4 linked regions of the Yarrowia lipolytica genome follow. The protein of the gene in region 1 interacts with the protein of each later gene in a pairwise test. Links are inferred from orthologs where the notes say so. Each region holds a gene or a part of one and is shown in the gene's direction. Other genes may lie near its edges. The genes, in order: YALI1_B20717g, YALI1_D13611g, YALI1_C31453g and YALI1_C23359g.

Region 1 (3,216 bases):
ATCCAGATGCCCAACAAGGATGGTATTGCTGCTTCCCAGGAGCTCAAAGAGCTGTATAAGGATGACTGCCCTAATGTTATTGCGTTGACGGCCAACGCTGGAGGAGAAGATCGAAGAAAATGCCTGGATGCTGGTATGGTCAGCTATCTGGCCAAACCCATTCTACCGGCAGACCTGGCAGCTGTTCTCATGTCTGTGCAGGTAGCGGAGCGGGATACTAAAAAGATTGAGAAGTGAGGAGGATAGTGAGGGGAGTGTGAGAGGAGGATGAGAATTGGAATAAACTGATAGAACATTAATTGATTTATTATTTATATGATACAAGTAGTAGAATGTATAGCTGGTGTAAAATGAATGTGTATTGAGCGCGTGAGTATCAAGCCGACCACGCAACTGTAGCAGTAGAGACGTGAAGGTGCAACGCGAAAGTGGTAAACATTGGTGGGAGTGCTTACTGAGACATTCGAGGGTAGGACTTACGACAGAAGCCAAGTATAAGCGACTTACAACATAACTGTGCTACAAGTACAATAGTACGATCCCTAAGATTCCATCTCATAGTTGCTTGACGTGCACATTGTACAATAAGTAATTAACCCACCTGGATTGTGCAGCTGTGCTGTCGTTGCGACGGCAATAATCCAGTATGTACTGTACACCCACTACAAGTACTGTACCTGTAGTGTGTCTTTAAAGATCCGTGGAGTAGTTTAACAGTATTTACAGTACGTCCACAATGCATGTTAGAGGTATAAACAGTTTAGTGGCTCTGGTTCAAATTGCAAGGAGAAAGAGAACTTCCACGCTACTCATGATGCTTTGGTCTTGGCCGTATTGGGCGTGCACATCTATGGGGGAATAGGGTATAATTATTGCTGTTTCATCGTTGCTAGCGGCTGCGTACGATAGCTGTAACAGCGGCTGGTTGTATAATTAACTAACCCCCTACCGTAGAATTTTATGTTTGATTCAAGATTATGAGTGCTGGTCAGAGTTTACGAAGTTCATCGTAGGTACTGTACTTACAGTAGACTGGTACGCGTGCTGACAAGGGATCGTGTCTGTGGAGTGATGTGGCGTGAGGGGAGTTCGGGAAAGATAGTGGGCCATACAAGAGGGTGGTAGTACCGTGATAACGTAGTGTATGGTGGAACTTGGGCTGTTCATAGGGGGTGTTTAATAAACATTGTACGCTACTGTACCTGTAAGTACTGCACCGACCCGCGCACTAACCCGACACAAGAAATGTGCCTCATTGGCCTTGGGCTTATCAGTGAGTGATGTGGCCTATGCATGAGCGAATGGGTTGTGTGGCATAGATGTTTTGACGCTGACTGCTACGTAGCACGTAGTATAGAGGACGGCGTCAGTTTGCGGAATGTAAACGGAATGTGTGCGTGTTTGAATAGTAATAATATCCGGTCCAGTTGCCCCACGCGACAGTTTTCCCCTGTTGGCCTATTATGTCCTTTATGCCCTTGAAGTACAGTTTCCAGCTCCCCTGGGACGATTCGATTAGGGGACTTAGTTTTGGCAACGTCAGTGGGAGGGGAGAGGTGGGGCACTCGTAAGTCACAGACGGCAATAGGCGGTGGAAATATACAGAGTATTCGATGGTAGAGAAACGACTTTCTCAGACGAGAAGATTTCACAAGCCCTCGTATTCCGCGCCCCCTGGCTCACGATACACCACAGAAGCGCTCCGTGGCACACCTTTGTGCATAAAAAAGCATAGGCTTCTGTAAGCAGCCTTCTCGTTTGACACCCAAATCCGAAACCCTGTCGCACAGCACAACTCACCACCTCACATATCACACTCCACACATACACACCCACACAACACACCCACATTCTCACACTCTCACGCCCCCACCACGCTCCTTGAACAAGCTCCCGCCCTAGCCCGTGCACAGACCCTCAAAAAGATAAAATGCAGACCATAAAATGTGTTGTTGTCGGCGATGGTGCCGTCGGAAAGGTGAGTATAAAGACAAAACGCCAATTATCAAGGTTCTCGTGCTCCGCCACGATCACGATGTCGTTCTGGACGATGGATTAATGGCCCTGGAGAGCTCCTACTAACGCAGACTTGTCTCCTCATCTCATACACAACAAACAAGTTCCCCTCTGAATACGTTCCCACCGTTTTTGACAACTATGCCGTGACTGTCATGTGAGTATAACGCGTCGCATTCTGCAAGAAACCAAGCCCCCCCCCCCCCCCCCCCAAGCAACGAATCGAGATACTAACCCCAGGATTGGAGACGAGCCCTACACACTCGGACTGTTTGACACCGCCGGTCAGGAGGATTACGACCGACTGCGACCTCTTTGTTACCCTCAGACCGATGTTTTCCTCGTCTGCTTTTCCGTCACCTCTCCCGCCTCCTTTGAGAACGTCAAGGAGAAGTGGTTCCCTGAGGTCCACCACCACTGCCCCGGCGTGCCTTGCCTCATTGTTGGTACCCAGGTTGATCTGCGAAGTGACAGGATGATTCTTGACAAGCTTTCCCGACACAAGCTGCGACCCATGACCACTGAGCAAGGCTACCAGCTCGCCCGAGAACTCGGTGCCGTCAAGTACGTCGAGTGTTCTGCCCTTACTCAGAAGGGTCTCAAGGACGTTTTCGACGAGGCCATCGTGGCAGCTCTTGAGCCTCCAGTGGTCAAGAAGAACAAAAAGTGCATTGTGCTCTAGTTTTTGCATGCTAATGGGTTAACACAACGAAAAATGAATCAAAGCAAGAAAAAAATGTTTCAAGATATGTTTATTGTAGTAGAACTGGGCTTGGATTGTGTCTACAGGGCCTCCGTGAGGGAACCTCAAAACAAAGCATCACTATGCGTTTCAAGCCTCGAGATGCCACCTGATGTCTGTAGTTACCCCATTTTTGACATATATATTATTGAATATCCAAAGGTAGAACCTGACGCGTGCTTGTAGTGCTGCAGTGGTGTATTATTTCCCCTGTTGGGTCATCATTACACGATAAGTACAAGTACGGATAGCTTCCGCCTCTACAATTAAAAGACACGCCCCACCCTTATTAAGCCAGCACATCGCTCAGGCAGATGTTTGAGTCCCGAACTCTATCCTAAGAAATCCATCGAAAAATAGTGGGTGTGCGTACAATACCCTAATATCTACCTTGGTGCAGAAAATCTAATCAGAACCTACCAGAACTACACATCTACACTCACGACATTGACGTTGTA
Region 2 (7,592 bases), on another chromosome or scaffold:
CCGATGGCTCCGGTTTTCGTGCTGTGGCAAGGTATTCCCCTGTGACAAGTGCCACGATGACATAAGCATGCATGTTGCCGAACATGCCAACCGAATGCTTTGTGGAGCCTGCAGTCGAGAGCAGACCATTACCAAGGAGTGTGATTCGTGTGGATACTCCTATGTTCCTCGTCACAGTGCCCATTGGGAAGGTGGTAAGGGCATGCGGGACCAGACCCGAATGTCCAAGAAGGACAGTCGAAAGTACAAGCGACTGTAGCGATAGTCATTTGCATTCTACGTACATTAGTATTGTATGTACATTAGTATTTAATTCTCAGACTTAGTACCGCTACTTGTAGCTACTGCATTAGTATTTATCATCAACCCTGCTGTACTTGTACTCTACCAATATCAATATCGGTTTAGACTGGGCACGTGAGCTTCCTAATGCAACGGTTCCAGATGCGTCGATCCAATTTCGAGGTTGTGAAATCTCCGCAGATCGATTAGGGGGTAGATTGAAGCGACGTATTGCTTTTGGCGAGCATCCGAGGATCAGGCTGAAGCGATTATGTCGATGCTATATATAGACTATTTACCCCTGGCTGGGGGGATTCAAGGACGTTTATACGGAGATGGAAGAACGGCTGGATCCTGTTTCCCCCCAGTGAGACAGCGACGGGGGTTCCATGGGCACTTCACGTGACCATGGCAGTCCTATGGCCCTATCTCTGGCGCCCCCCTGGCGTAGTAGTGCATATAATACTGGGTCTCCCTTCTCTACCTGACCCGATCTTATGCACCCCTATGTACTGTGCCGGAGTTAATGGTGGGATGCGGTGAGGTACAGGCGAGATCCTCCAGGGTACCCTGGTATCCTATGTAGTGTATGGCATGTTGTATGTGGTCTAGGTGTGCAATATTGCTAGTTTCGAGCGGTGCTATCTTCCTACCACCCCATTTATCCTACTATTGCTGTCGTCAAAGGGGTCTATAACTACTTTGTCGGCACAATACCAAGCTTAGTGGGCTAGTGGGTTGGTGGGTCAGAGGGTGAACTCTATGGTGGACAGTTGGGCGTGTGAATTGGAGGTGAGGCGCGAAAAAAAAACGGTTGCAGAGTGGGGAGCAACACGGTCAGCTTAGGCCCAGTTAACACGTGGTCTTGTGTACTGCGGGGAGGGTATCAGGGGCCGGTCAAGTTTGCTCCTTCCTAAAGGGAGTATGATTCTGAGACGTCAAGCTCTCTCTCTCTCTCTCTCTCCCTCTCTCTCTCTACTTGCACTTTGTCCGTATATCTCCCAACTCCGTTCTTCGCTACTCGCAGTGCGACTCTGTTGCGCCATTTCGTATCCCTTCTAATAGTTTAACTCTAGCAGCCATCACTCGTGTCTGCAAGACAACCCAAATCCACAGGCACCCAATTCAGAACGTGTGGATCACCGTCTTGCTAACGGATACACAGACCAGCACTATTACGAGACTTAGAGCTGCGACACGAGCGAGGGAGAGAAAGCGATACTGCGACACACACCAGTGACACACACACACACAGTGACATTCGGTATTTAGTGGAGGGTGAGTGAACAATGGAGGTGGCGAGCGGGGGAGGGGGACGAGGGACCAGTGGAGCAAGACCACCGCGGACAGCAGCTGAAGATACACAAAAGAGTGCAATTCCAAGAATCATATGTCCACGGTGGTCGCAAAGGATCCACACAGCCACCCGGGACGTGTACCATATGGCGCTCACTCCTGATGCTAACACAGATATGAAACGAAACGAGGCAAAGAAACACGACATTTCTGGCCCTCTGCCAGACTCGGCGTCCATCCGAAGCAGTACAGCGGGAAAGCTCCAGTCGGTAACTCAGGGCCTGGGCCTGCGAAAGCTGTCCAAACAGAACTCGGTGCGGTCCCTGGGATCAGACACGTCATCCATCTACTCCCACAACGATCCCGACGGCGGAAACTTGCATACCATACCGACCAACTCGTCGGCGTTCTCGTCGTTGGCCTACGACAGCATCTCGCAAAAGTCCAACAAGCCCATCCACGTGCCGTATCTGCCCGCAGCAGGTGATAATGCGTCTGGATCGGGGTTTGTACCCCAGAACATCTCGGCGCCCATTCCACCGCTGCCACAGCAACAGCACCATGGCTCGCTACACAGTCTGCCCAACATGTTGAAGACGGGCCACAGACGAAAGTCGTCCATGTCCTCACACGACACCTCTTCGACCGAGGCAGAATCGACACTCAGCGGAGGATCACGGCCGCCCAGCATCAATAGCGCAAGAGAGTCAAGCATCTCGTTGGCCCGAATGGACCTGGAACACCCTCCGGACGAGGCAACCATCCACCAGCTGTATATGCAGCTCATGAACAAGCGAGACTTCAAGAACCTGCCAGAGGAAGCACGACGACAGATGATCAGCTATCCCACCGACAAAAAGTGGACGCTCATTGTCCAGGACCATCTGGCCGACCATCAAAAAGGACGACTGCGACAGAGTCACCATACACCCCATCTTCCCACACCATCACAGTCCAACAACTCACATTCACCTGAGTTCTACGTGCGCAAGATTCTTGACAATACCATCACATCCAAGCAGCTGGGCAACCTTTGGGTTTCACTGCGAACTGAGCCTGTTGACTGGGTCAGAGATTTTATTGATGCCCAGGGGCAGGTCGCTCTGGCTGCATGGCTCCAGCAGATCAACTCGCGAACCAATAACAGCGAGGGCTTCCTGGACAGAGAGTACGACATTGTGCGATGTCTTAAGGCGTTGCTCAACCTGCGAGATGGTGCCGACCACGCTGTTCGAACTTCCAAGTGCGTGGCACCCATTGTCAGATCTTTGGTGTCCCCACGACTGAGTACACGGAAGTTGGTGACAGACGTTCTGACGTTCCTGGCACATTGGGACGCACCTAAAGGCCATGACCAGGTTCTGGCGGGTCTTTCACAGCTCAAACAGCACCTCAATGAGGTGTCCCGATTCGACGCATGGTTCAGCGTGGTGGAACAGACATTAGCTGGCCGAGGGAAGTTTGGCTCTCTTGTTGGGGCATCGGACGATCTTCGGTCCGGAGGAGTTTCTATTGAGTCCCTACTTATGGAATACTCCCTAGCCACCATGTTCCTGATCAACATTCTCATTCAGGGCGTAGAGGACATTCGGGTGCGAGTCCACCTGCGATCCCAGATGAAGGCCTGCGGCTTGCCTCGTATTGCAGCTCGGATGCAGGCACTCAACTATGATCTGCTTACCGAGCAGCTGCAGAAGTACGACGAGCAGGCTGCACTGGACTTTGAGGATTTGGTTGCTCTTGATCGCCAAGCCAATGTGGGCGACATGACTGACCCTGTGGCGATAGCCGAGGAGATTTGGAGCCGTGTGGAGCACACGCAGGGCGAGGGCCACTTTGTGTCGATCATGCAACACCTGCTGCTGATTCGAGAAGACCCTCGAGAGGACGGAGCTCGTATGCTGCAGCTGGTGGATGCTGTGGTGACCCATCTGGTGATGGATAGAATCATGCCAGACGTTGATTTCCGCTCGGTGGTCAACTTCTCGGTGCAGTCACTTTTGGGTAAGCTACACACTGACGACCAAGCACGGAGGGCGATACTCGAAGCAAAGGAGGCTCTACGGGATGTGGAGATAGCCGAGGCTGAGAAGATGCGCATGGAGGAACAACTGCAACAGGGCTCGGATGGAGTCATCAGCAAGCTGCACCAGACGCTGGAGGAGATGGAGCACAATGCGCGAATCTCTCGGCGCCAGAACGATGCTCTGCGATCCGAGCTTGAGGACGCACGTGAACAGTCGCTAGTCAAGCTGCAGGAGCAGGAGCTGGAGATTCGAGAGCTTTATATGATGCTCAAGGAGCGAGAGGTTGCGGCGGCCGACACGTCCATGGTCAGCACCGAGGGCGGAAAGTCGCAAGGCATCATTGATCGACAGCGAATGCTGCAACGTCTGGAGCAGCAGGTGCATCAGAAGACTGCCGAGTACGGTTCATTGTCAGTTGGCCGCAACCAGGTGGAACCTTCTCCTCGTCTGCGAGAGCTGCGAGACCGAATGGAGGCCCTTCAGCTTCAGGCACGTGAACTTGAGAGCTACGACTTTGACGAAGATGAGTTTGATACCGAGGAGCCCGATGCTTCAACACCTGCTCTCACCAAGGAGGATCTGTATGCTCGTCGACTCGAAAAACTGGAGCGGCTAAAGAAGCTCCAGGAGGCCTCGGGCGAGCTGGCGCTGTCGTTCAACGCAGCAGATGTCTCCAAGCAGGATCTATACGAGCGACGATTGCAGCAGGTTGAGCGGCTGCGACGTCTTCAGGAGGCTTCTGGCGATGTGGCTCTGGCCATGAACGACCCCGGTATTCAGCTTTCTGCGGAGGAGATTGAACTCATTGAGCGGCATCGACGCGGTGAGAAGCAGCAGCAGGGCCAGCCCCAGGCTGCCACAGCTACCCTTGTGGAAATTAGAAAGCCCAAGGCTGTTGCTGGGGACGGGAGTGGAGGTGGAGATGGTATCGGGTCTGGCTCAGGTACTGGAAGTGGCAATGGCACTGGAAACGGTCCTGATGCTGCCACCATGCCTTCTATTCACGACAGACCCAGTGCTCTACCGTTTGCCAACGAGCTTGTGGCCAAATTCAAGGGTGGCAAGGGTGGTGATGGTCATGGCGATATCGATAGTGCGGATGAGGATGCAGGCGACTCCTCTGTTACACGGGTCAAAAAGGAGACCAAGACAGAGCCTGAAGACGTGGTCATCGAAATTGACGACGAGCCTGAGGCTAAGAAGGAGAAAGAAAATGCACATTCGCCAGTCAAGTTTACTGGCGGACCTCCGCCTCCGCCTCCTCCGCCTCCTCCTCCCATGTTCACTGGAGGACCTCCTCCCATGTTCACTGGAGGACCTCCTCCGCCTCCACCACCTCCTCCGCCTGGCTTTACAGGTGGTCCTCCTCCGCCTGGCTTTACAGGTGGTCCTCCTCCGCCTGGCTTTACAGGTGGTCCTCCTCCGCCTCCTCCTCCGCCTCCTCTGCCTCCTGGCTTCACAGGTGGACCTCCTCCTCCTGCTCCGGCGTTTGTTGCTGGTGCGACGCCCTCGCCGTCTCCTTCTCCCCAGCTTCCTTCAGGTTTCGAAACACCCATCGGACGGCCCAAGCGAAAGCTCAAGCAGATGCACTGGGAGAAGCTGGAGAACGTGGAGCATACCTTCTGGGCGCAGCTGTCTTCTGGCGATGTAGAGGCTGACCTGTACAAGAAGGGCATTTTCGACGAGGTAGAGCGAATCTTTGCGGCCAAGGAGGCAAAGAAGATGATTGGAAAGCGGGGCGCCAAGGAGGGCGACTTTGAGAAGCTTTCTGTGATTGCACGAGACCTGTCTCAGCAGATCGGTATCAATTTCCACACCTTCAACGACCTGGGTGTTCCCGAAATTGTCTCCGAGCTCATGTCTGTGTCCCGACGGGTCCGAAACCCCGTTCTCCTCGAGTTCTTGCTTAAGGACGAGGTTCTGGAGATCCCCAACAGTGTGACTCGTCAGCTTACGCCTTACTCTACTCGGTTCGAGGATGGTGAGGTGCGTGAGCCCGAGAAGAATGTGGAAGACCTGGAGCGGAACGACCAGATCTACTTGCAGACGGTGTTTGATCTCCAGCACTACTGGCGACAGCGAACGCGGGCAATCTTGATGACGTGCACATTTGAGAAGGAATACAGTGATCTGGTGACCAAGCTAACGTCTGTGGACGCTGCGTGTGAAACTCTCAAGAATTCAGAAATGCTGCGCCGAATCTTCCTCATCATCCTGTCTGTGGGTAACTACATGAACGACGCCAACAAGCAGGCCACAGGCTTCAAGTTGGCAACTCTGCAGCGTCTCATCTTCACCAAGGACGAGAAGAACACAATAACCTTTTTGCATTACGTCGAGCAGCTGGTTCGAAACTCGTTCCCTGAGGTGGACTCTTTCATTGACGAGCTTGCTCCCGTGTGCGCCATTGAGCGTCTCTCTGTGGAGCACCTGCAGAACGACTGCAGAGACTACATGCAGAACATCTCCAACATTCAGACTTCATTGGACGTTGGAGCTCTTTCGGACCCGAAGCGGCTGCATCCTCGAGACCGCATCATCACACACATGCATCTGCACATGGACTCAGCTCGTCGGAAGCGCAACTTTCTGCAGGATCATTTGCAAACTACTCTTGCCGAATTCTCCCAGATCATGCGCTTCTTCGGTGAAGATCCTGGTGACATGCAGTCTCAAAGCACCTTCTTTGGCAAGTTTGTTGCCTTTGTGAAGGAGTACCGAAAGGCCAAGGATGAGAACCTGCATCGAGAGGAGGAGAATCGAATCTACGAAGCTCGAAAGCAGCGTGCATTGGCGAGTCGAAAGGCTGCTGAGGATGCTGCCGCTGCGGCTGCCGAGTCTGGAGAGAACCTAGTCATGGATGATCTGCTGGAAAGACTTCGAAAGTCTTCTCATGGTGCTCGGTCAGCTCGTCGACGAGCTGCAGCCCGCAAGAACCAGGATGCTTCCTCCAAATTGTACCAGGAGAACCTCATTGAGGATGCTGACGACTACGACAAGTCCATCATCATTGAGGGTGACACCACCGAGATCCGGGAGGGTTCTCCAAATGCCGATGCTGACACAACAGAAGTGCAACCCGCAAGAGATGACGAAGCAGACACGGAAGCTCCAGCAGTAGCGCCGTCATCACGTACGTCTACTCGCCTGTCTGTTGATGTGTCTCGTGGTGACGTGCCAGAGGGGGTTTCGACACCTCGAACTCCTCATGAGACAGAAGACGCTCACACACCTGATAGAGCTGTTCCTGAGGTGGCAGTTACCACTCCCAACGACGACGACGACGATGACGTTGGTACCCGTGCGCAGAACCTGCTGCAGGCTCTGCGGTCTGGAGGAGCATCTCCTCGAGGCCATCGAAGCACAGGATCCGTTGGAAGCATGTCTCAAGGCCGACTAGCAGAGATGCGAGCCCGAAAGGCTAACCGACTGCGAAACAAAATGTCGATTGGCTCCGACTCGGACCTGGGTCCTCACCTGTCGCCTTCGGCGACCAACCGGTCGCCCAGCGCAGCGGAGAAGATCAAGGTAGAGGAGGATATTGAGGCGGAGAGGCGAGACAGTGCGGAGCCCGAAACTGAGATAGAGTCGTCCGAGGAACCCGATTCTCCCACCCCCCGGCGACCAGGTACGGCTTCGTCCCAATCTTCCAGATACACAAATGATGAAGAGTAAAACTACACGATTACATAAACAATGCATGATTGACTAATGAGAGAAATGTTTCCATGGATATATGAAGTTGCAGTCGATGTAATCATGGAGATAGTTACAGTTCGAGTAGAGTACGTACAAGTACCTATACATACTTGTAGCCGAAGATAAAAAAATCTTGACATTTTGTATTGGGGAAGGGTATGTCATGAGTCCAGCACCCAAGTACATACAGTACTCGTAGATGAATGGCTTGTTTCTTACTTCAACTTGTTTCATAAACAGGGCTGATAGCCTGCTGGATAGGTTAAAAAGTTGCAGTTGTACTCGCAG
Region 3 (5,392 bases), on another chromosome or scaffold:
TCGGAAGAAGAGATTGCCAAGACTGGAGACTACGGCAGCAGCAGATGTGAAAATCATTCATTGTTGCTTTTTTCTTGGTGGATTATGGACAAGTTTGCCCTTGCTGTTGGCTGGGCTCCATTTTAATGACCATACCTTTTAGGGAGATTAACCCGTCAAGCAGGTTAGGGTTGTCTCAGAAGTTGCACTAAGAGCGGAGTTGAGAAGACCAAGCGGGAGCGTGGGGGAGGAGGAGGCGGGAGGAGGGGTGGCTCACGTGACCCTAGGTCGTTATGTGTCACTGTGTGTGTGTTTGTCAAGGAGCTTTTCCGATGCTGTCGGTTCACGTCACTGGACCAGCCATGTACCTCTATCATGTCAATTAATGTGAGTCTAGTTTATTTATCTCGCGTCGCGTTTGGGTTGGGATGCGGGAGGGAGAAAACTTGGTTAGGGAGAGGAATTGTTGTAAATTCCACCCATTATTGGTACTACAGAGGACAGCAGATCTTTGGTTGTAATTCTATCCGGTTTATCCGTTTTGAAGCTGGTTTTTTTTTTTTTTTTTTTTTTTTGGTTGGAGATCTTCTCTTACTCCAGTTGTTCCGTCGCACCATCGCAATATCATCTATAGTCTGTCATTGCCGTACATAGAAAGACTAATTTTAAAAAAACGTCTGAAGGCAGTCAGTATTTTTAATGAGGCAACTTCAGGCTGGGTTGGGTTGGGTGCTCATACTTGTAGTGTAAAAAGAGCCACGAAAAACCCAGGAATCCAAGACGGAGAAGCCAAAGAAAGAGCAAAAGAAGAGAGAGAAAAAAAAAAAGGCGTCAAACTAATAATTACTCGCACCCCGTAATTAGACGCCCGCTAGCTATCTATTTCTCGTCTCCCCTCACAACACTACTATCCCCTGTCTGTCTTGCTCGAGGTGTATCCCCTCCGAAAAAGCCTATCGCGGTTACGGTTGGACCCCTTTACTCACGGACTGTTTTGACAAGTCCAGAAGCTAGATTTTGAGACCACTGAACCTCATCATTGTCTTTTTTCCACCACTTGTCGAGCTTTGCCAAAGAAATAAAAACCACAACGAGCGACGCAGAACGGAGAAGAACGAGCCCTCTCGATTACTCAGTCCCTCAACGACTCTCTGCGACTCTCTTCACGACCCTCTCCACAACTCGCTCTAACGACTCTCTCTAACTACTTGCATTTTTTCCCATAATCGGCCCAGATTCACACACGCACACAACACCAAAGGACCGAAAACCAGGTACAATATACGGATCCAGATACTCACAGATACAGAACCGGATACTTGCGACAGCGATACACTAACGACAGTGATACTCACCAACACAAAAGCCTCCTCACACAGACTCAGTTGCAAAACGACACATCATCGATACTAGAATTAGACAACCGCAAGGACACTCTTTGGAACAACGAACGACACACAGGCTAAAGTGAGTATGATAGACGAACTGATAGAACATGGATGGGTGTTTGCGACTATGAGGTGATGGGCAAAGTGAAGAGGAGGCGGATGTCTCCAACCTTGGGCGCACTGTGTGCATCTGCACTGTTGGTGTGACGATTCGACACGTGTAGGACACATTGGACACAGGGGGGGTGGGAGTCACATATGACAAAATCGAGGCTATGAGCAGATATATGGGCCATGCGGCACTGCTTTCTGCAGATGGGCTGATCATATGGCACTGCGTATATTGCCATGGTGTGTCTCATGTGTCCTCACATCTCATTTTGCCTATCTAGGTCCATCTGACCACCAGTGATCTCAGCACGAAGCGATTCATTTCAACCCACTCTACATCAGAGCGAACCGTCCACCATACAAAACTGTGCAGAGACGTTGCATTGTGATACACAGCCCTTGATACACAGCCCATGTATAGCGTGGAGCGTCGCACTGCCATGAGTTAATTGCACATCCCGACTATGAAAAATCCCGACCATGGGCAATACCAAACTTTCCATGATGAAGACGCTACGACACACACAGCTGTCCAAGGAGCCCACATTCAGCTCATGATGTATGCAGCTTCTCCTGTCGTCCCTACATTCGAGATGCTCGCAACACTCATTTCGAAGACTGTACTAACTCAGATGTCACAATTCAGCCAAGCATTTCTAAACCCTGGTCCTGCCCCACCGCCACCCAAGCCCTTCGCCAGTAGCCTCACCGCCTCTTCCAGCGGCACAAACCTTTCCGGGCTCATGACCCCCACAGAGCCCCGTACCGCCCCCACCATCACACGAGACGCCATCACACGACCCGCGTCGTCCAACAGGGTGCTCAAGTCCGGGTTCGCGTCCGTCAAGGAGGATGGATCATCGTTCCGGTCGCTCATGTGGACTAAAAAGTACTTGGTGTTGCGGGAAAATGCATTGGACTTTCAAAAGTCGGAGACGTCGTCAGTGCAGTTCTCCATCCCGCTATACACGGTCTCGAACGTGACACGTGTCGATCTCAAGCCATATTGCTTCGAGATTGTGCGGTCGTCGGGCTTCAAGTCCGTGTTCGTCGTCTGCAAGAATGACACGGAGCTGTACGCCTGGATCGATGAGATCTACTCCAAATGCCCACTCATGGGCGTCTCTAATCCCACCAACTTCACACATAAGGTGCACGTTGGCTTCGACCCCATCTCCGGAGGCTTCACTGGTCTACCCGACGCCTGGAGCAAGCTGCTTTCGACGTCAGCCATCACCAAGGAAGACTACGCCAAGAACCCTCAGGCCGTCATCGAGGTGCTTGAGTTCTACAGCAAGGAAAATGTTGAGGCCATGGGATTCAACGCATCTTCTTTGGGCATTGGCATTGAGAACAAGTTTGATGAGGGCCTGACAATGGACGCCGCTCGTGTGCGGGCCATGCAGCAGCAGCAGAAGCAGCAGCAGGCCCAGCGTATGGCCAACAACCTGCAGGAGTGGACCAAACCCGTCCCTAGTACTGGCTCTTCCAGCTCTTCAACAGCCACCACTCCCGCACGATATAATGCCACACGAAAGAACGACGACGATCTTCTCACGTCTCTTTCTCCGTCCACATCCGTCCCCCGACGACCCTCGGTCCCCAACGTCACCCGGGCGGCCCCCCCACGGCCTGAGCGACCTGATGGACTGCCATCGACCTCGACGATCCCTAGGGACCGAAGCGAGCTGCGACAGGAACTGCGTAACGAAATGCGTGCCGGTGCTGGAAACAGCAGTGGAAGCGTCAGCGGAGCCAGTGGCAGCGGCACTCAGACCCCCGTGCATCCTCTGCTGCGAATCAACCCCGACGTTGACTCGTACCAGCAACGACAATCGCCCACCAGCAACACCGGAGGCAACTACCCCACGACGCCCACGTCGATGACCCAGTCGTCGTCGCAGGGCTCTCTGTCGTCCAAGACATCGCCCACCGCATACAGAGCCTCTCCCGTGGCCACAGCTGCTTTGCACGATCTACCGCCCCCCCAGCGACCCATGCTGCGACACAAGAACTCCAGTGGTTCTATCAACTCTGTGTCGTCGGGAAACTCATACGTCGCTCCTCTCATGGTCAAGAAGGCCATCCCTGCCAACCGGCCTCCTCAGACTGCCCCTCCGGTGCCTGCACAGAGCGGTGGAGACAAATTCCAGCCCCAGCGAGCTGCTCCTGTGCCTCAGCAAACTCAGCAGCCCCAGGCACTCCCTGCATCTTCAGGTACGTCTGCTGCTCCCGCTCTTGGAGCGGCTAACCAGTTCAAGCCCCAGCGGCCTGCACCATCGCCCCAGAAGACGACCCCCAAGACGTCTCCCAAGAAGCCCTCTGCTGCTGGTGTCGGCCAGGGTGGCTACCCAAGAATGTCTCCCACTAAGACGTCTCCTACCAAGACGTCTCCTGGTGGAGCTAGTGCTGCCGCTGCTGCCGCCGCCGCCGCTGCTACAACTGCTGCTCTCGAAGGTCCCAAGAAGAAGCCCCAGCATGACGAGCGTCGAATCTCGACCATGACCGACGCACAGATCACCGAGAAGCTCAAGTCGGTGGTCAACCCCCAGGACCCTACTCCCTTGTACCAGAAGCTCAAGAAGGTGGGTCAGGGTGCGTCTGGCTCTGTGTATGTGGCTCGGCCTATGACCAACGAGTTCCAGCTCAAGAAGGTGGCTATCAAACAGATGGATCTGGCGTCACAGCCCCGAAAGGAGCTCATTGTGAACGAAATCATCGTCATGAAAGAGTCGCAGCATGCCAACATTGTCAACTTCCTGGACGCCTATCTGCGAGGCACCAACGACCTGTGGGTGGTCATGGAGTATATGGAGGGCGGTGCTCTCACTGACATTATTGATAACAACAGTCTGAGTGAAGAGCAGATTGCCACAATTTCCGGCGAGACCTGTAAAGGTCTGCAGCACTTGCATCATCAGAACATTATCCACAGAGACATCAAGAGTGACAACGTGCTGTTGGACTACCAGGGTCATGTGAAGATTACTGATTTCGGTTTCTGCGCCAAGCTCACGGACCAGAAGAACAAGCGAGCCACCATGGTCGGCACGCCATACTGGATGGCCCCTGAGGTGGTCAAGCAGAAGGAGTATGGTGCTAAGGTAGATGTGTGGAGCTTGGGTATCATGGCGATTGAGATGATCGAGTCAGAGCCTCCTTACCTGAACGAGGAGCCTCTCAAGGCTCTGTACCTGATTGCCACTAACGGTACTCCCAAGCTGAAGCATCCCGAACGGCTCAGCAAGGATATTAAGGCGTTCCTTTCTGTCTGTCTGTGTGTTGATGTCAATTACAGAGCCTCCACCGACGAGCTGGTCAACCATGAGTTCTTGAAGAAGGGCTGTGGCTTGCAGAGTTTGAGTCCGCTGTTGGCTTACAAGCATAAGAAGATTTAGGACATGGGTACGGTATAGGTATAACGGTGAATATGGGTGGAATTTGGACTTTACATAATTATTGAATTAAATAGAATGACCTGAGTGGGTGTACATTATCGAGATTGTTCCATATCGTAGGTTGCAAAGAGTTGGGGGATGTGAAAGCAACGTGGGAATGTAGAGGTCAGTGCCTTAACCTAAGCGATGGAGGTTCGTCCATGAGTTTTTTCCTTCAACTTATTCATTATATTCTTATAGATAGACGTATCCGAACAGGAAATTTGTTGAACTGGTACAGCCAGGCGTCATTAGTTCATTAAGTCAGTTTGAAAGGTGTGGCCAGAGACGAGCACCAGGCGGCAGTTACAGCATCCAGGCATTGTTCGTGCTTTCTGCCCGGCCTACTCCTTCAGACCCTGGTAAGTCAACGCCTCGATAGTCTGCCACAGCACCATTGTGTCCATGTCTCCAAACGGCAGAATCTGCGCCTGGCATAGACCAGCAACACCCTTGGTCCGATCGACCCACCAGAAT
Region 4 (7,650 bases), on another chromosome or scaffold:
CGTTACACCGGGAAATCTACTATTAAGACACCCCAGGTGGTTACGGGCAATTCGACATTGGATGTGATCACATGTGATACCATTCTTCACCTGGTGATATCCTCAAAGGACTACAAACATGCGGTCGTAAAGGAGCAGTACACAGGTAGTGGTTGACTTGACCGAGCCGAGCAAGTACGTCACCAAGTTTCTCGAGTGGGCTATCATGCTTTCGAGACGCCGGCGGGCCTCGCGGAATTCTCCTCGATCAAGGAGGAGAATTTACTGTCCTGCGCAGATATGCTGAAGCTGAAGGAATTGAGGTTGAGACCACGCATACCAATGATCACGTTTCACCGCATCCGAACCTCTCACGTCTTCCGACTTTCGGATCGGTGTGTTATGTGTGCACCCTGATGTTCAGCGGGACTAAGCTGCAAGAGACGGCGCTTATAGGGATCTGTGTGGCCATGTCCAATATGGCAAGCACTACCTAGTCTGGGATCTCCTTGAAGGCCGAGTTTGCCAGTCTCCATTTGCGCGTTTCCTGGAACGCCGACCCCTTGCAGACCACATGGAACGTCATCTGGGTCTTCTTGAAACCCGTATGGTCCAAACCTTTGACTCTGAGAACCCTTCTTTGATCCCCCAGTCTGGCGGACTTGTTTCCAACAATACGAAGAACGACATCTACACCTCGAATGAATCGGTTTCACCACTCTAGATACCAGAGACGCGGCGACTGTTGACGGGGGAATGTCCTTCCCATCCTTTTGTAACTGATGGCAGGATGGACATTCGAGATAAAGGCTTGGAACGGGCTGGCGAAGCGTATACTGGTGGCACATACCTTGGACTCGTTCCTGAATGACGACTTGGAAACACATCAACCCCACTGGCAGTGGCTACTGATGGGATTCTCCCTGCCGAGGAGACCATACCCGAGAAGTTCCTTACATACTAATGTGAAAATCGGCAACCCCCAGACAAGCCCGCTCTACGTGGCAAATGCTCCAGCACCAGACCCCAACGCGAAGTGTTGCCGATGGCGTCCCCGTACAGGCCTGTCTACCCAGCATGACGAGTTACTCACCAGAAAGGTGTGGGCTCGCTCATTCACCCATTCACCAGAGAGACTCTCGATCAGTGGATAAATATCTACAAAGTCCATCCATCTGCGACAAAGCTGGTTCCTCTAATCATTAATGAGGATTTCTCATCAACGTATTAGTCAGGTATTACCCTACCGGCTTACATAACAGGTTTAGACCACGCCAAATGTCTGTCTTTAACCCTGCTCTAGGCGAAAATTCAGAATAGAGTTTGTCAATAACACGTTGAGGGACGCGCGGATGAAGGGATAAAACCGCGTTTACGGGGGTTTTTGGGAGGTTTGGTCACGTTATCAGGGTAATCACGTGACAAAACCTCCATCCGCGGGCGTCCCACCAACGTTCTGCGTACGCCAAAGTGCATTTACGACGCATTTACGACGCTTGGCGGGCTCTACCCTAACCCCAATGCAGCAGTGTAGACGCGTCACGAACTAGTTGCGAGTTTCAGTCTCACCCAGCACGCCTAAAAGTAGTGACGAGACTGCGATAATGAATCAGGAGAAGATGAAGGAGGAGAGTGAGTAACCACAAGAGAAGAGAAATGAGTGAAGCCCGCGGCATGTCGGGTTTGGCGGGACCTGATAAGGTGGGTTTGGTGATTTGAGACGGTGGGGTGTGGGATGAAGATGGAACGAGTTGGCAAGCGATTGTTCGTCATGTTGAGCAGTTTAATAAGGTCCATGGTTTGTGCACGGCTTCCTTTTGTGTGGTATGCTACTGGAGTGGCGTGTTCTTACCGTGTCAATGTCTTGCTCTGGATCCAAGTTATGGATCGTAATGCTACAATTTCTGAAAGATGACCTGGCTCCATCTTTTTCTACGGGATACCAAAAGGACCGTGTCTTGGGAACAGTGCGACCGGCAAAATCACAGTTATCAAACCCGCAGTCTCTACATGTCTTCCTCAATCTCACAATACCGGTGTTCCCACCAACGCGATCAGAATGCTGCCAGTTCCACCACTCGCACGCATGACCTACTTGTCACCGTCTCAGCATATCAAGCGAACCTCTTTTGGGTTGTGTCAGAGCAGTCAATCATCAAAGCGCCCCGAGAGCGGGCTCATGGCAATGCCAACTGTGTGAACTTGCTGCCAATTACAACGGTTCTATTATACAAACTTGGCGCTGAACGGTTACAAACGTGTCATGGACAACTACCAACTCTTGCAGCCGACTCGTTTATCCTGCCAAATCTGTTCACCTTCCCGCGTGCTGCTCTTCTGCTTCCTTTCTTTGCTAACCCAGGTCTCTCCCTTCCCATCTCAACCCCGTCGGCAGATGTGATCATCATCGATTGCAACTCGCTATGCGACTCAAAGCTCTACACAAACCCGTCCGTCATCTCGACCGCCGTCTATATGGTCGGCACGGACCCGCTATTCGGCCCTATTCTCGGCATCGTTTACAAAACGGACAAATCACATTCCTGCGTCATCATCTCGCGCCACGGAGCTTCCGGGTTCGTCGACATGACCCTCAGCCACAAGAGCCGATACTACGGCGCAGTCAAAAACCTCGAGGACAAGTCCTCGGCTGTGTCACGCGCTCTAGGTATCGCCCTCCTGCGTGCCTATGTCACCATGGACAAGAACATCCGTACATATCTCGCCAAAAACGCTCTCCAAACGTCCTTCCTCTACGATTACGATGAGACATGTGCAGGAAAAACGGCCTCTCAGCTTGTTGTGGGGGATGGACATGGTCCCGAGGAGATTGGTAAGCTGGTATTAGAATCTGGTGTTGTCGAACCCAAGTTTGTGCGTTCCAGTGCGGTGGATATCGTCTACGAAGACAGCGACGAGACTATTGAGGATAACAACCGGCTCGTGTACCTGCTTGGCGAGCAGCTCGAGCAGCTGTTTGACCCACTGAGTGAGTACTCGCCCGAGGGTGTTGAGGAGGTTTACGAGCCCCCTAGAGACGAAGATACAGACAGACGCGGTGCTGGCGGTGATGTCGACCAGGAGGACGACGAGAACGGTCGCGAACCAAGTCCCACATCGTCCAACTTTTCCGATTCGGCTACACTCACGTCCGTGTGCTATGAGCTCATCACCATCCAGAACAATTTCCGCGACGCGCTTATCTCGTTTTTGCAGTCGTATCTCATTCCGCTGCGAATCCAGGTCATCAATGGCGCCATCCCCTCGCTAAACATGACAAAGTTGAATTCCATCTTCCCACCCACCATTGACGAGATTGCTCGAATTCACAACCTATTCCAGACCGCGCTCAAGGCTGCGACGCCGTTTGGCTCGTCGGAAATCGTCAGAGCCACAGGAATGACTCTTCCTTACTTTTACAAGCCGTGCATGCGCCACGAGGCTGCACTGAGGTCTTTTTCCGATCTCTATGGCGACTACTCTGCGCTGATTGCCGAGTCTGGCTTTGTGCCTCCAGTTCCCTACTCCCAGCAGCGGATCCAGTCAGTTCTGGCCGCTTCTCAAAACCTCACCAAGATCAAGCTGCTGCTGGATCGTATTGTAAAGCTCAGCAACTGGGGCGACAAGCATGATGCGACCATGATGTACTACCATGCGGCTGTCAACACAATTGAGAGTTTTGCGCGGGTGGAAAACCACGTGGTCTACGACAAGCGAGTCTTTACACCAACTGGTAAGATTCTCGTTGAGTTTGCCTCCGGCTGGCCGAGAGAGCTACAGTACGGGTGGATAAACCGAAGAGTTGTGAGCATTTTCGACGTCACGAGTGTGTTTGAGACGCGTGAAATGCGAACCGAATCGCGTAACACACAACAACACAATGGTTCCTCTCCTTCGTCCTCAAAAGACTCAATTCTCATCATCTTCACCGATCACATTCTTCTGCTGGAAGTCGAGCCCTCATACTCGTCGACGATTCAGACACAGGCGCAGAAAAGAATCGCGTCGGGTGTTTCTTTCCACTCGGTGTCCATCGCCGACATGCTAATGCATTCGCTGATCAACGAGGTTGCCGTACCACAAATTCCGCCTCTCAGAGTCAAGTTCTGGGCACCCATATCACACGTTTTTGCTTCCGAATACAACTTTGGCCACAACCTGTCGCTGTTTGCAGTCGGAGGGTTCAACACAGCCGAATATGGCAACGAAGGTATTGTCCCCAACAGCCTGGAGAACGCCACTGGAGGTTCTGGAAGCTCCACCACGACACTACTGTTCACCCTCAAGACTCCGGTTGCACCCAAGATTGTAGAGCTCTGCACTAAGGCGAAGATCATGTCGAAGACACAACCGTTCCATCTCTTTCACCACCAGAAGACTCACGGTCTGAATCTGTTTATGACGGTGCATGAAATGCAGGGCTATCTGTCTGAGCAACGAAAGTCTCCCATTGCCATCTTTCTGAACATGGACGGGTCCGATGGCAAGCAGCTCGCACGTGAACTTACAAAGCGCCACGAGCTGGACGCAGCCTTTTCCATCTCGCTGCTGTCCAACGAGAGTGCCCATGTGACGCTGCACTCCAAGTTTGCCTACACCCTCGACCGCCAGGTGAGTCTGGACTCGCTCGCCAACTTCATCAACACCGAGGTCTCCAATCTGTACACGCTGTATCTGTCTCCGGCCAACCCCGAGATGGTCGAGAGCATTGTGCAGGGAAACGAAATGGTGGCACAGCAGCTGATGGATTTTGCGACGCGCCAGGCCCACACAAAGCCTACCAAACCCGTGCAGAGCAAAAGCATGATTGACGATGCGGCGCTGGTGGTTACGGGCGTGAGCAAGCCCGTCCAGGGAGTGCACGCGAAGCCGCCTGTCCCTGCCAAGGATGTCAAGAGTGCGAAGCCCAGTGCGAAGCCTTCTGCCAAGGCTCCTACCAAGGCATCTCCCTCGTTGAAATCAAAAAAGTCGGTGTTGTCGCTGCTCGGCAAGTCACCCAAGAACAGTCCCAATCCCGAGCTCAACCGGAAAGACAGCATGTGGATGAAACTCAAGGGCAAGTTGCGATCACCCAGTTTGAGAGAGGAAGATGAAGATGAAGATGTGGTTGAGAGCGGTAGAGTGCCTGACGTACCCCAAAAGATCAACGTGCCCCCTCCTGTGCCCGTGGTGCCTCCTACGGGCGAGATGCATGGTCTTGGTATTTCTGCCAAGACTCCTGAGATGGACGGTGGGAAGTTTGGAGCGGCGGAGACTCCTCGGCCAACGCTTGAGAACGACCCCGATGTCACTCCCAAGGTTGTTCGTCGCAAGAAGTCGTTTGCGGCTCTCCGGCGTGGAATTCAGACCAACAGTGACGATGAGGATGGTGCTGAGGTGGATGATATCGGGTATGGAGACGTGGATAACCCGAGAGTGAACTCGGAATCCACTTATGGCGGTGAATCAGGGGCGCACGGGGCCGATAGAGCCGTATCTGGCGTTTCTGACGCTACCAGGGCAGTGTCATCTGATTACGGAGCAGTTTCAGAAGCTACCCGAAACTTCTCCGGCATTCAAGGTGTCACTGGAGACCCGAGGGCGGCTGAGTTACGTGCAGCATCCGGTGTCCGATCCGTGTCTCGACCCCTACCAGTCCCGAATGCTGATAGAACCCCCTCCACAGCTACCGCCATTTACTCTGGAAACGATACGTCAGCTTTCAACTCAAGCTCTGGCTACAATTCCAGTTCGGTCGCTGCAAACACCACCTCTTCAGGTATCTACGATCCCACGGGAGTGTATGCCAACACCACTAATGGTACCACCTCTGGTGTCTACCCTGACGCCAGTACTCGAGCTGTGTTCAACAACACTACGACCAACTCCTCAGGATACAACACCACCAACCCAGTGGATGCTCTCGGGGTGTTTGGCGCCCCCGCTGCTTCTGGTGTAGTTGGTACAGGATCCATTGTCGTTACTGACTCTTCTGGCGTAGACACATCAGCCAGCCAGCCAGGAATCACCTCTAGCGGCTCAATTCGACCAATCAAGAAGGAACCCAGCCATCCAGTGTTCGACTCCAACCATCAATTACCCACATCACATTCCCACTACTACACGTACTCTGGATCGGAGTCTGAAGACAATGTGGCCAACCAAAGACACACCTGGAACGACTCGTACGACTCGGAGCTAATGGGTGGGGGCCATGGACGAAACATGAGCTCGCTGGAGAGCCTGGACTGCGGCGAATCACGTGACGCCAGCGTTTCCCACGCGTCACGTGACTCCCGCAACGACGTGAAGCTGTTTGATTTCATCAAGACCAATCGGTCTTCAGCAGCTGACCCCGACTGCGTTGATGACGTCAGCGAGTTTTCCTCGTTCCACTCGAGTGAAGAGTCGTCGTCACGTGGTAGCGACTTTAATGACTCGCGTCGGTTTGAGGACTCCCGGCGGTTTGATGAGAGCCGGGACTTCATGGCCGAGTCACGTGACCAATCTCGTGTGTATCCGTCGCAGGCTCAATCGCGTGACCAATCGCAGTACTACGACCAGTCACGCGACTTTATGGCCGACTCGACGTCGGACCTGCAGGCGGCTCGAAACTATCTGGCGTCGCGCGACTCGGACGAGTCCCGTGATTTCATGGTTGACTCATCCCGGGACTTTCTGGCTGGTTCATCACGAGACATTCTGCCTCCCGGTACGTCGCGTGACGACTCTGCGCGCCAATTGCGACACATGAAGTCTTCCTCCATGGCGCAGTTCAAGTATCCTCCTCCTCTTCCTCCTATTTCTTCCGAGAACCCGGCCGAAGACGAGTTTTCGTCCTTTTCCTATCTTGCTGGTATTTTGCAGGGTAAGGTTGCGCTTGGTGAAGAAGACGGCAAGTCTTTGGAGAGTGCCCATGCACGACGGACGTCCAAGAGTGCCCGGGTGTACTCTCGAAATCCCGTTGACACCTCCCAGGTCCCTCAGTCGGAGTCTTTCACCTCTTCCATCGAGAGCGGGTCGACTGGAGGAGCTTTGTACCCTGATTTGCGAGACTCGTCCATTATGTTTCTCGGCAAGTATGTGAGGGATCGAAGTCCGGCAAAGGGACAGACGAGGGTGAAGAAGGAGTGGGTGGACGAATACGAGTAAGGCCAAACTGTGGAGATGGCAATGGCGATACGCGTACTATGAGTAACAATTCAACGGTGCAAGCACAATAGATAATAATGCATAAATTGGTTGATAAACTGCTGTGGGCGAGTTTAACACAAGTAGATGTACAAGTATTGCAAATGTTCTTGGTGTTTCTCATGGGGTCGACAGGACAGGTGCAACGTCTCCATGTGGACGTCCGTTATATTGTTAATCTGACACTCAACTAATTTGTTGAAGAGCCTCACCACAAATCGAACCCACGGTCTCATATGCCGAAAAAAAAATACAAGGTCTGATATTATTAAGCGATATGCATGATGCTGCAGTACACTGATCTCATCACCACATCTGCAAAAAAACACAACCAAATCAACCCCCGAATGAAGTGAGTATGAGATAATGGAGGGGACTCAGAGGGGAGGGAGAAAGTCAAATCAAAATCATTAGGCCAGAATACAGGGCGCGATTTGGCGATCATCAATGGCTCGCGGCATGGTTGAGCATGTTCGGAATGTGCCCTGGTGGTGCGTGTTC

What was found.
Region 2: the proteins of YALI1_B20717g (region 1) and YALI1_D13611g interact in a two-hybrid assay, tested with the Saccharomyces cerevisiae proteins (5 studies listed by BioGRID). The link is inferred for Yarrowia lipolytica from reciprocal best matches to the Saccharomyces cerevisiae genes CDC42 and BNI1.
Region 3: the proteins of YALI1_B20717g (region 1) and YALI1_C31453g interact in a two-hybrid assay, tested with the Saccharomyces cerevisiae proteins (7 studies listed by BioGRID, with this or other methods). The link is inferred for Yarrowia lipolytica from reciprocal best matches to the Saccharomyces cerevisiae genes CDC42 and CLA4.
Region 4: the proteins of YALI1_B20717g (region 1) and YALI1_C23359g interact in a two-hybrid assay, tested with the Saccharomyces cerevisiae proteins (2 studies listed by BioGRID). The link is inferred for Yarrowia lipolytica from reciprocal best matches to the Saccharomyces cerevisiae genes CDC42 and BUD3.

Annotation. Positions count from the first base shown.
Region 1 is NC_090771.1:2,069,775-2,072,990, forward strand, and holds YALI1_B20717g (uncharacterized protein), read left to right. Parts: upstream 1-1,930; coding exon 1,931-1,978; intron 1,979-2,087; coding exon 2,088-2,173; intron 2,174-2,256; coding exon 2,257-2,698; downstream 2,699-3,216. Other genes in the region: YALI1_B20634g (uncharacterized protein), read left to right, coding at 1-237; YALI1_B20709g (uncharacterized protein), read right to left, coding at 976-1,153, 1,198-1,295. UniProt on the Saccharomyces cerevisiae protein: Involved in development of cell polarity during the cell division cycle, and essential for bud emergence. Affects signaling in the pheromone-response pathway through the STE20 protein kinase.
Region 2 is NC_090773.1:1,359,540-1,367,131, forward strand, and holds YALI1_D13611g (uncharacterized protein), read left to right. Parts: upstream 1-1,571; coding exon 1,572-7,280; downstream 7,281-7,592. Other genes in the region: YALI1_D13574g (uncharacterized protein), read left to right, coding at 1-259. UniProt on the Saccharomyces cerevisiae protein: Required for the assembly of F-actin structures, such as actin cables and stress fibers. Nucleates actin filaments. Binds to the barbed end of the actin filament and acts as a leaky capper, slowing both polymerization and depolymerization.
Region 3 is NC_090772.1:3,141,874-3,147,265, reverse strand, and holds YALI1_C31453g (uncharacterized protein), read left to right. Parts: upstream 1-1,942; coding exon 1,943-4,876; downstream 4,877-5,392. Other genes in the region: YALI1_C31408g (uncharacterized protein), read right to left, coding at 5,260-5,392. UniProt on the Saccharomyces cerevisiae protein: Involved in budding and cytokinesis.
Region 4 is NC_090772.1:2,334,102-2,341,751, forward strand, and holds YALI1_C23359g (uncharacterized protein), read left to right. Parts: upstream 1-1,890; coding exon 1,891-7,110; downstream 7,111-7,650. Other genes in the region: YALI1_C23415g (uncharacterized protein), read left to right, coding at 7,497-7,501.